3 linked regions of the Rattus norvegicus genome follow. The protein of the gene in region 3 purifies or fractionates together with the protein of the main gene of each other region. This does not show direct contact. Links are inferred from orthologs where the notes say so. Each region holds a gene or a part of one and is shown on either strand. Other genes may lie near its edges. The genes, in order: Cops5, Cul4a and Dtl.

Region 1 (4,334 bases), on a different chromosome or scaffold from region 3:
TCCTGACCTGGCATGCATCACCATTTTCAGCAGTGCCAACGCAGAGATTTTGCAGTATTTAAAGTAGTGGTGACTACAAAACAAAAATCACACTGTGACCGAGAGCCTTACTTAACGTGCAATTTCAGAACAGTTTCTGTGAGAATAAATACATTCTGAAGGGATTTATAGGGATTGAAAGGGAGTGTGGAACGTGGAGGAAAAAGAAAGCAGTAAGTACAAGGTGCCTGGAAATACCATGTCATGTGTCTTTGGCTCAGACATAAAGAGTCTGAAATAAATTTTAAATATACTATTGAAATGAGGGAATAATGATCAACTCCACAGGTCTTTTTCCTCAATCAACATGGAATTATTATACCTGGTTACCTTCTTAGGCCTAACTTTCTGACCTTAATTTACTGAGTTATTAATTAAATAATTTATTTATTTATTATCTGTGGTACATGTTTATTAGTGTGCCACCTGTGGAGATGACAGAGGCTGTCAGGGGTCTTTCACTACCTTTTTTTTTTGGTTTCGTTGAGACCAGGTTTTTGGTATAACCCTGGCTGTTCAGTAGACCAGGCTGTCCTTGGAACTTGATCACCCACCTCTGCTGTGATTAAATTCAGGTGTCAACATGCCCAGCTCATTTTCGTCTGTTATTACTTCATTCCCTCGAGACAGAGTCTCTTACTGAAAGCTTACTGTTGTGGCTAGGCTGGCTGACTAGCTCACAGACCGTCCTCTCTGCTTTCTTTCCATATAATGCTAAAAGGTAGCATATTCACACATGGATTTTTACATAGATGCTGGATTTAAACCTTAGGTCTGCATGCAAAACTAAGTACTCTTACCCACTGAGCCAGAGGACTTAGTTTCTACAAATGTGGCTTCTGAAACTGACTTGCTTAGGTCTCTAAATTACACTGACACCCCCTAACTGAGAGAGTAGGGCCACTTAATGTCTATGCCAGATCACATATCTATAAATAGATATTTCATCTATTAGTATGAAAAGTACACCGTAAATGCTTAGCTTAGTCCCAGAAACACTAAAATCTAAGGTACTGCTACCAGTCTTATTAACCCGCTTTTTTTTTTTTTTTTGGTTCTTTTTTTCGGAGCTGGGGATCGAACTATTAACCCGCTTTTTAAGATATTCTCAAAGAAACAGCTTGTTAGCTTATGGCTTCCTTCTGATAGCATCTTGGGAATTAGAGTAGAGCTAGTATCCTTACTTCTGTGACTAACTATTGTACATGATTAAACTCTTGAACATTTTAAAATCACGGCTGTATCCTGCATGTTAGAATAAACTTAAGTATAGCCACAGATGGTGAGGAAGTCAAGAGTTTACATCCATCTAAAACGTGCAGCTTGCTTAAGGGACAGCCAAGAAATCTGCACAGGTCACTCAGTGTCACCACGGCTTGTTGGATGCAAGCAACCAAGTACAGATCCCAGCTTTTGCTAGATTTCAACCACAAGCTGAAAGTGGCTGAGATCATCTTGGAAATCAAGACATAAATTTAAAAATTGGCTCCTCCACCTACTTGGGAAAAAGAGAAAAACAAACCACTACTATGCTCTTATTATATATGGTTCTTCCAGAACTTTTTAATAAATTATCTTTTTAATAAATTCATGATATTCGTAATAGCTATGTTTAACCATTATCTTATAGATAAGTTTAGATACTTTACTTTTCTAATGCCAGTCAACCGTTTAAGTGACAGTTATGAGACTTGATTCTCAGTCTACTGCACCTAAGTTCACTGCTATAGTATAATCATGAATGTATTTGCTTATTTTCCTATTTACAGAAAGGGAAAGAAAGTACAGTACTGGATTGCCCTGATTATTAAATGACATAAAAATCATCAGACCAGTGCCAGGCCCACAGTAGTAACTCAAAAAACCCTGAAAATAGAATCCTGACAGCTAAAACCAGCTTTGCCAACAAAACAAAACACCTGGAAACAGCAAGGCAGTTTACATAGCAACCTTTTGCAATGTTTTTCTTCACTCTCCTTAACATGATTTGCTCTAAAGAATCTTTTGACTTGTCGTGGGCCCCAAAGATACATGGATTTGGCTGGGGGGCAAATAGCCTCTAAGCTCTATTTTATAAATCCTGAATTGTTGCAGTAGTATTTTAGAGAACTGGTAAGAGGATTTGGTATGTCTTTAAAAAAGTTACAGAGGAAAAGAGTGATAAAAAAGAAATCACCCCAAGGGCTCATTTTTGTTTTTTAGATCAATGCCCTGCTCATTCGATTTCTGAAAACAGTCACGCTCTTCAGTTTGAGATCCACTGAAGGCTGCAACCAACTGCATGTAGCCAGCCACCAGGTTCAGGGGAGAATGTGTGAAATTTACGAAAATAATCATTTTGAGAAAGTAGCACCCTAAGTCATCCCTTTACACCCCCTGGAGGTAAGAAACTTTCTAAAAGGGGTATCGAAGCAGGCCCTAGAAATAAGGGGAATCGAAGTCTCTACTGATAAGGTAGAATAAAACCACGGCGGCCAGTATTCTGTCGACGCCCCTCAGAAAGCCAAATTCTCCACCCACTTCATTTTCCACCCCTCGAGGGTCTCTCTCACAGTCCCTCCATCCCTTCCCTCCCCTGCGTCTCGCCAGGGACCTCCTCACTCCTTAGTCCAGGGTTTCGCCGCCAGGATTTCTTGTTGTTGTTTTTTGTCATATTTGTAGATTTCATCGATACTCTGCGCTTCCTGCATGTTGTTGGCCAATTCCCAGGTCTTCTGGGCCATACCACTCCCGGAAGCTGTCATGGCCGAGGGACCGGAGAAGCTGTAGTCTCCACAACCAAGATGCAACTTTATTCTACTGGGCCTCAGCGTGCGGGCTTTGCACCTTCCCCACCACGGGTGCACACTCACTAGACTCTCAAGGCAGCCATGACACTTGAGACCGGAGGTGACGTTGGTCCAGACCATTCGCGCGTCGGGGCGCGGCGGCGGCGTAGCGACATAGAAAACACTTCCTAGGGGTCCGCTCGGCTCGGCTAATAATAGTTTTGCGAACGAAACGAGGACATGCTGGCTCTGAAATCCGTACGTGTGAACTGGGAGGGACGCAAAGTCTCTGTGTGGGAATGGTACGGCCTTTCGCGCCGGAAGGCGGGCCTGTTGACCTGCCAGGAAGGAGTCGGCCGTCTCGCCTCGCACTGCGCAGACTCAGATTCCGCCATATTGCGTGTGGGAGGGAACTTCGGTTTGGGGAACTATGTTTATGTGAGTGTAGGTGCTTCAAACGAAATAAATTGTTTGGAATACTAAATGTCTCTAGAGAAACAGAGGTGTAAGTATCTCCGGATTATTGGTTTTGGAGGGGGAAGATTATGTGACATTGTCTTTTAAGATAATTCGCGGAGTATAAACCCCTCCGGGGTTTGTGGGTGGCGTTTCGCTTTTGTGTTTTCGCTACTGTTGCGAGGTGGCAAGCAAAACTCACCGGTTGCTAAGATTAACTTTTGACGCGTTTATAGGGTAACATTTATACAAGTGTTAGGAGATGTGAATGCCTTACCCGCTACTTGTTAAAAAAGGTTTGTCTCAGTGCAGAATTAATCTCCGCAATCCGTTCTTTCCGGTAGTTAATATGAAATTTGTTTCAGTCGTGTTTTTAGGTTTTCTTCCCTCTCATTCTCATCCCCAAATGCCCACTAGAGTGTAAGTTGAAGGCGTGCATAAAATCTGTTTGTTTTATTTAATTCTAATATATTTAATTATTTTCGTAACACGGTTCTTACAGACTTCTCCAGCTTCATCATCTTTTAGCCACCCTGACCCAGCTTTTTAATTAGAACTTTTTCCTTGATTTAGTAATGCAGTAGTTGTTAAGCATTGCTTTAAATGCACTTCTTGACATTTCTGCTTTAGAGCACACAGTATTTAAAAAGCACAGTCGAGATGCCTTCCATTAACTCTTTGACAATAACTGCTCCTTCCACAGGATCTCGAAGGCTCTATAGTTGCTTCACACGGACGTTTTGCTTTTTCCCAGTAAGCTTTGTGTTGTATCCTTTTTTTTTTTTTTTTTCTCACCCCCTCTCCCCCGGCCATGGAAGGTCTTTTGCTGTTCAGGAACTCGATATGTAGACCAGGCTGGCCTCGAGAGATCTGCCTGCTTCTGCCTCTTGAGTGCTGGGATTAAAGGCATGTACCACCCTTGCCGGGCTGTATCCTCTTCTAATGCAGGTTTTTAGCAGACAAATTAGCTAAAAAAGAATTGCTAACTATTCACCACTACTGTTGGTTTTGATTTTGGATTCAGAAGTTGAAGAAAATTGGAGCGTGGTGACACCTGCCTCTAACCCAGCA
Region 2 (3,649 bases), on a different chromosome or scaffold from region 3:
ATCCCTTGGAGGACGGCGATCAGGTGCAGCCCCTTTTCTATAACCCAGGGAGCAAGACGCTGGGTAGGAGATGAAGGTTTGCTGAGTGTGTGAACACTTAGGTCAACCCCCAGACTAGGATTAACTGGCAGGAGGATAATTAAAGTAAGTAAAAAAGCCGTTTGCAGCAAAGTGGGGTTAGAGCAAAACAGTGCTGGGTGCCATGTCCTAGGTGGCATCTGCTGACCACTCTCAGCCTAGGGTCAGTCTCCTCCAGGGCTCCGATGGGGCAGAAGCTCCATGCGCCTCACAGCTCTGTCCTGAGAGGAGATGCATGTGAGCAAGTTCTCCAGGGATCTGGTCACCACGTTCTTGTCTAATCTTGCAGTCGTTGGTTCAAAATGCTGACGGAGAACACAAGAGGCATCTTGACTGAAGCTGTGTAGTAGACCTCCCAGAGGCTCGGTGTCCAGCCACACTTGCTTGCTGTGTTTAATGAACAGGGTCTGCACAGCTGGCAGGGTCAAGTGTCCCCAGGAGGGGGAAAAAGACTTCCTGAATCAGGAGAAAATCTTGAATACAAAGGTTCTGGAATTTATTTTAGACATGAATGCATGGAGCCAAAGAAGTCAACATGGATTTTACACACAACAGAGTTTGTGCGCTTAAAACTGGCCCGAGGCCAGGTCGGACAGACGTACTCGTGGGCATGAGTGACAGGTGACACGGCAGCAAACCTAAGATGGCCTCTGCGCAGCCCTGTGTGCAGTACAGGCCGACTGTTCCCTTCCTAATGGGAGACACAGCCAGCCCGCCTCTGTCTGTCCTGTCCCTGGAGGAAGTCTCAGGCCGGACAGGCAGGTTCTCCTGCCTGCCCAGAGTGCACGATCCACCAGGAGAAAGTGGATGCAGCAAGGACCGGAGGGGCAGTCCTCAGGGTTACGCCAGATCCACTATGGCCAGATGGTAAGCAGGACCTTGTTCCTACAGCTCCCCCCCCACGCCCCGTTAGATGAGACTCCTCCCTGTCACACCGATTGGGCCTGTGACACCGAGACAGAAAGCAAGGGGCTGTATCCTGATTCCTGACAGGCACACCCCAAGAAAATAAGCTGGGTATGACAGCCATATTTGTGGGGATTTGTCACATATCATAAAAAATAAGGTGATTTTTAATTAAAGAACAGAACTTAAACTTTAAGACATTTTTAAAAACTCCCCTGAATGTTCCAATTAGATGCAGTACTCATATCAACTATTTAAATGTGACAAATTTCACTTTTAAAAAAACCATTATAATGAGTTATGAAACAAAAGGCCCCTTGTTCTATAAAAAAAGAGTTAAAACCCATTATTTTACACTGAGGATATTCATCAGTTCTTTATCCTAGTTTTAAAAGCTTTGTGTCATAAATGAGGCACAAAAAGCAAAGCAAGAAAAGGATATTCTCTGAAGGGGAGGATCTGGGCCTGGACATGGTCTTCACAGACCTGCCGCAGCTGCTTGTAGAGCGTGGGGGAGACTTTGTGAGAGCACAGATTCTCAACAGCCTACAACAAAGGAGAGGGTGGTTGTTCAGCGCGCGTCAGAGCTCTTGGAAAGCCCTGCGTTTACCTGCAGTACAGCCCTCTCGGGTGGTCAGGGCACTTGTGCCACCCACACTGATGGCAATGGCCAGCAGTGCCAGCAGTGAGGGGCTCAGACTGACATACCCTGCACCCACTGTTCCTTGGGGGCTGGCACCTCAGGTGTGAAGCTTTGCCCTGGTTCAGGAGTTGCCCTGTCAGGCTGCACAGACCAGGGCTGTGAGGTTAGTTTGGGTCATGTGGCCATTTTTTGACTCTCTAGGTTGAAATGGGGCACACATATATCCTAAAAATGGCCATGTGAACCTGGGCAGTGGCAGGAGGGAGCGCCCAGCTGTGTGAGTGTTAGACCTGTGATTCCTGAGTGACAGGCCAGGCTGCTCCGCTCCCTGTGTTTTTACTGATTGTTGATGTAGAATGCATTTATTTTGTCTTGATGAAGAAAAGGCAACTTTTGTTTGTTTTTTTGAGACAGAGTTTCTCAGCGTTGGCTGTCCTGGAACTCACTCTGTAGACCAGGCTGGCCTCAGACTCAAAGCTCTGCCTGTCTCTGCCTCCTAAGTGCAGGCATTAAAGATGAGCACCACCCACCAGCCAGCAAAAAGGCAACTTTAAACAGCCTACAGGAAAAAAATTATTTCTACCCACTGAAAGAATATAATCTCATCACTCATATTAAACCTCTCTCAAATCTCATATACATGTCAGACTCTTATTCACGTGAGAAGTGTAAAAAGAAATGATCTCTAACGAGGAGAGGGAACAGAGAGACTTTCCTTAGCTCTTTTCCTCGAAGTACCTTCCCGTCTTATCTGTCAGCTCTGCCTCAGAAGCTCAGCATAAGTCAGCCCATGTTTACAAGTACAGAAAAAAAAGTGATTTTATATACACGTCCATGCTTGTGTGCTTTTCTGTAGAAGTCCAGTTTGTGTGGCTGGTATGCCGTCCTTCACAAGAAAGCATTTGTGCAACAGTTTTCTCTCTCTCCTTCTTGAGACGGAGTCTTACTATGTAGCTCTGACTGTCCTGGAACTTGCTATATAGACCAGGCTAGCCTCAAACTCAGAGATCCTTCTGCCTCTGCCTCCCCAGTACTGGGATTAAGGGTGTGCACCACCAGTCCCCTAATATGAGCGTTTTCTGAGTGCTGCTTCCTGAGTTGGAGTCAGCAGTCCTAACTACTTTTCCTAGCTGTGACACACTATCGCTGTCATACCTACTAACATGAATCTTCCTCATGTACTTAGTTACAACTGAAGTCAGCCACTACAGAGACATATGGTATGACAGGTGGGACCCAAGGTGACCCTGGACTCAAATGAGAAGACGGTAATGCACAATGGCAGTCCAGGATTGGTGGCACTGTCTGTGTTAAGGATGGCCTGGGGGTACTATTTCCATACAAACTTGCTGCCTCCCCGCACTACCCCCTACTCAGAGTGAGGCTGGGATACTGGGCCCCTCTAGATGCCTAGTGAGAGAAATAAGTAAGAATACAAAATGAAATCAGGACTCAAATCCAGGCAACAGGAAACTCAGAAACTTCTCAGGAGACATGCACCTGTCACCATCTTCCAAACCCAACCTTAGCACTCAAGGTTGAGGTAAGAGCTAAACACACACCTGTGAGAGCTGAGCAGGAGGCTGCTAGACCAGGGCAGGTTCTGGTGGGACAGACAAGTCAGAGAGGCTATAGTCTCTGCTTTTGTATTGAATTTATGCTCTACTAGTACGTGACTTCTTCAAAGTGGTCCTAGCAATACTGACCTGTTCACCACACCCTGGGCTTTCCCATGTCATTTTAGCCAATCCTGTTACTTGGTTTTCCACAGACCCACACTGCTCCCTCCTTCACTAATATGCCTGACAGGGGTGAACCTTCCGGCTCTGTTGTACACTCCAGCCCAGAGCTGACCTCTCCCTGGAAGCTAGGCCACTCTGAGGAGTTTGCTCTCAGGTGGAGCTCCACTCTGAGTCTTCCTCTGATGTGTACTAGGGTGACGAAAGGACAAAATTCAAGTACGTAAGTCACAGGAGTATGTCCTGAATGGTTCAGACTCAGGTCTTCAGAAGCAAAGGGATC
Region 3 (3,649 bases):
CCTTTTTGAAACTTGGAAAAAGCTACAGACTTGAGGCTGCACTGGTGGCCTTTGCATGTTCCCATTAGCTCACCAGCTTTTACATCCCAAAATTTGGCTGTCTGATCACCGGCTGCTGTAACCTTCCAAAAATAATATAGTAAAATTAAAAGAAAGAAACCCTTTATCAGCATCTACTCAGACCTAATAAAATGGAAGTCACTTACAAGTTTAAGTTCACCAGGGACCCACGCCAGGTCAAAGACAGCATTCCAGTGAGCCATCCACTCTAAACAAAGAAATATGACAAATCCAGAGTGTGTTCTATGATAGTCATACAGTAGAAGTTTAAAAACAACTTTTATGGTAGCTTAAATAGGAATGTGTGTACTTGGACCAAAGGGAGTGGCACTATTAGGAGTCATGGTCTTGTTAGAGTAGGTGTGGCCTTGTTGGAGAAAGTGTGTCACTGTGGGGGCGGGCTTTGAGGTCTACTATACTCTGTGCCTAATGCAGCGGTCTCCTGCTGACTGTGGATCAAGATGTAGAACTCTCAGCTCCTCCAGCACCTGCACCTGCACCATGCCTGCCTGCAAGTAGCCATGCAGATAATGGACTGACCCTCTAAACAGTAAGCCCACCCCAATTAAATGTTTCTCTTTATAAGAGTTGCTGTGGTCACGGTGTCTGTTCACAGCAATGAATCCGTAACTAAGACATGTTGGAAGTTTTCATTATAAGATGGTAACTAGTACTCTACTGTTAAGAGGCCAAAGAGCATTATGGTGTCACAAATGTCACACAGCCCCTCCAAGACACCTGCAAGAGCTATCATCTAAAGTCAAACGAGGGAGAGAGGGGACTCAGTGGGTAAAGCACTTGCTGTACGGAGGACATCTAACAACTTCTGACCCCCACACTCGTGTCCACGCACTTTCCCAAAGTCCCCCTCCCCCAAAGAAATAAAAGCATTTTCATAGCATTAGAAGCATTCTCTAAAATAGGATCTTCACAAAGTCCTACCAAGGTAATAAATGTTAGTCTGACTTTAGTTTGGCATTTAAGGCCCTGCTTGCTAGCTCTGTGCAGGCGTGTATCCCTCACTGTTCTTACCATGTACATGAATATCTACCTTATTCCACTCAAGCTGACCAGCATCCTTGTATTACAACAGTAACTTACCAAAAGCTTTATGAATTAAAAATGCTAAAAATTACAGACTTACCCTTGAAGCATGTCTTTTTGCTAGTTTGTGATTCTGTATTATATAATCTGACAAAGCCTTCTTCATTAGCAACTGCTAATATATGCTCCATACTGGGAGCTAAAGAGAAACAAAGAATATATAAGGACTTTCAAGATGAGTACAAAGGTACCAAATGACTCACAACAGGGCTAAGAGATGGCTTATGTCAAAAGTATTTATTGCTCTAACAGAAAACTGGGGTTTGATTCCCAGCATCCACATGGCAGTTCACAATTGTCTGCAACAGTAGTTCCTAGGGATCTAAGGCCCTCTTCTGGCCTCTGTGGTTCATAAACATATATATACACAAGCAAAACACCCATACACATAATATAAAAATAATAAAAAAAAACCCTGACTCTAACCATCAAAATAATCTTCAGATACTCTTACTTGACTAAATCAAGAGTGGTACTGGCCAATGGTAAATAAAATCAGGATGCAGACCACCAGAGAATACAATCTATTGGTTTTAAACTTCCTTTTCATGACCTTTCCTCAATTAAACATTAGACTGGAGACAAGAATTTCTATTCACATTTTTTAAATGATTGCTAGGAAAAAACCCTTCATTTAAAAAACATCTCTGTACCTTATAAATCAGTTATGAGAATAATTTTAACATCTACCTAAGTTACTCTTCTTTCAAAGTCTATTTTCCCTCTAAGTATGAAGCAATATTCTTTCTGTTCAAGCTTAGTGTTTTTAGTCCTTTCCTTACCAGTACAGAAGGTGCATCCAAAAGGAGGAACTGGGACTCCCGTTTCTCCGTAAGATGTGTGCTCATCGTTACAGCTGCACCGATAACCACTTAGGAGAGATTGCAGAGGATAATGTGAAGACCACCCTACAACAGGACAATCCCTTTAAGAATTAAAAGGCAACATCATGTTTTAGCATTTCCCACAAATCTAAAGATAAATATCCTTAGTCTCGTTTGTCTTTTTGAGGCATGGAGGCAATGATTCTGCTTCTGCCTCCCAAGTGATGGGGATGAAAGGTATGAGCTACCATACCTGGCTGAGTATTATTCATATAGAACTTTACATGTGTAACAGATCTACTCACGATCTATGGTGCTCCAGAATACCATTTCTGGTGTTTTCTTTTCTTCTCTTTTCATTCATTCATTCATTCATTCATTCTTTTTTTTTTTTTTTTTACATAAGGTTTCTCTGTATAACAGCCTTGGCTGACCTGGAACTCATGTTGTAGACCAGGCTGGCCTTGAATTTAGAGACCAAGTGTTGAGATTAAAGGGACATGCCACTACTGCCCAGACATTTCTGCTATTTTCTTAAGCCATTTTAAGTAAGAAATCAAAACACTCCGAGGGCATTTGGGTTTATCTAAAATTTTCTTTGGCTTATTATGTAGAGCTTTGGTTGGCCTTGAACTTACTATGGCATAGATCAGAGTAGCCTTGAATTCAGAGTCCCAAGTGCTGGGAGGATTAAAGGCATGTTCTACCACATCCAGCTCTGTCTTACATCTAAAATGTAGAAAATTAGTGTATTATGATCAGCACCAGTGCAAGGAGATCTGACTCTTTTAGCAAAGACACAGCCACTAAAGCATCACCAATTAAACTGTTCCTCCCTTCCAGGCAAAGTTTGCTTTTGTTTTGGGAGTGTCAAATGATAATCAAGGAGACAGCAATCATAACACAATCAGCATTCAAAGGGTTACTGTATCGACTGGTAATTTAACTGCCTTTTTCCTAAAAGTGCTGAAATTCTAGGATCCTAAAATTCTAACAGGAACCCAGTCACAGTATCTGAGATATGACTCAAAAGTGGTCTGTCCTTGCCTCTAAGGAATGAGGATTTAGAGAACAACTCAAAGTAAATTTTCATTTCATTCAGAAATAAAGCCAACTTTCTAATGTGCATAATGCTTCTAAATAAGTCATCATCTAAACTCTGGTTAGCATGAACATGTAGGTTGGCTCATTTAAATGATAAAGGTTGAATGTTCTTATTCAAAACACTTGAAACCAAGAATGCTTTCAACTTGCTTACATTTTTCTGGTTGGGTGTCCTGAGGCTTTTGAATATCATATTAACACTCAAAACCCTTCAGATTTTTTAGATTAACATGCTCAGCCTCAGTAGAGAAACACTCATTCAAGAAGCAATTGCTGACTGACCAAGGAAGTAATAAACCAGCAGCTGCAAGTGCTGGAACTCACACCTAGGGCACTGCCAATCCTCACACGCTTGACCTGTTCTGGACGTGCAGCAGTTTGTCTATCCTGAGATAGACAATGCAAGGTGTAAGACGGGGACATGAAAATGCCTTCCTTTTGCAAAATAGAATAAAGGAAGGGATAAAGATGATGGGATAGGGAGCCTCTCAGACAGATAAGACATTTCAGCAGAAAAAAACTCTTATTCTAGTTTGAGAAGAAAGGAGTGGAAAAGA

Evidence for each region.
Region 1: the proteins of Dtl (region 3) and Cops5 purify together in Homo sapiens (affinity purification with mass spectrometry; 6 studies listed by BioGRID and IntAct, with this or other methods). This does not show direct contact. The link is inferred for Rattus norvegicus from reciprocal best matches to the Homo sapiens genes DTL and COPS5.
Region 2: the proteins of Dtl (region 3) and Cul4a purify together in Homo sapiens (affinity purification with western blotting; 15 studies listed by BioGRID and IntAct, with this or other methods). This does not show direct contact. The link is inferred for Rattus norvegicus from reciprocal best matches to the Homo sapiens genes DTL and CUL4A.

Annotation. Positions count from the first base shown.
Region 1 is NC_086023.1:13,973,895-13,978,228, reverse strand, and holds the start of Cops5 (COP9 signalosome complex subunit 5), read right to left. Parts: upstream 2,892-4,334; 5' UTR 2,784-2,891; coding exon 2,641-2,783; intron 74-2,640; coding exon 1-73. Other genes in the region: Cspp1 (centrosome and spindle pole-associated protein 1), read left to right, coding at 3,107-3,312. UniProt on the Homo sapiens protein: Probable protease subunit of the COP9 signalosome complex (CSN), a complex involved in various cellular and developmental processes.
Region 2 is NC_086034.1:83,114,320-83,117,968, forward strand, and holds part of Cul4a (cullin-4A), read right to left. Parts: intron 1,531-3,649; coding exon 1,427-1,530; coding exon of another isoform or gene 1,426-1,426; intron 1-1,425. UniProt on the Homo sapiens protein: Core component of multiple cullin-RING-based E3 ubiquitin-protein ligase complexes which mediate the ubiquitination of target proteins. As a scaffold protein may contribute to catalysis through positioning of the substrate and the ubiquitin-conjugating enzyme.
Region 3 is NC_086031.1:105,679,330-105,682,978, forward strand, and holds part of Dtl (denticleless protein homolog), read right to left. Parts: exon of another isoform or gene 2,627-3,649; intron 2,073-2,626; coding exon 1,947-2,072; intron 1,304-1,946; coding exon 1,205-1,303; intron 269-1,204; coding exon 207-268; intron 123-206; coding exon 2-122; intron 1-1. UniProt on the Homo sapiens protein: Substrate-specific adapter of a DCX (DDB1-CUL4-X-box) E3 ubiquitin-protein ligase complex required for cell cycle control, DNA damage response and translesion DNA synthesis.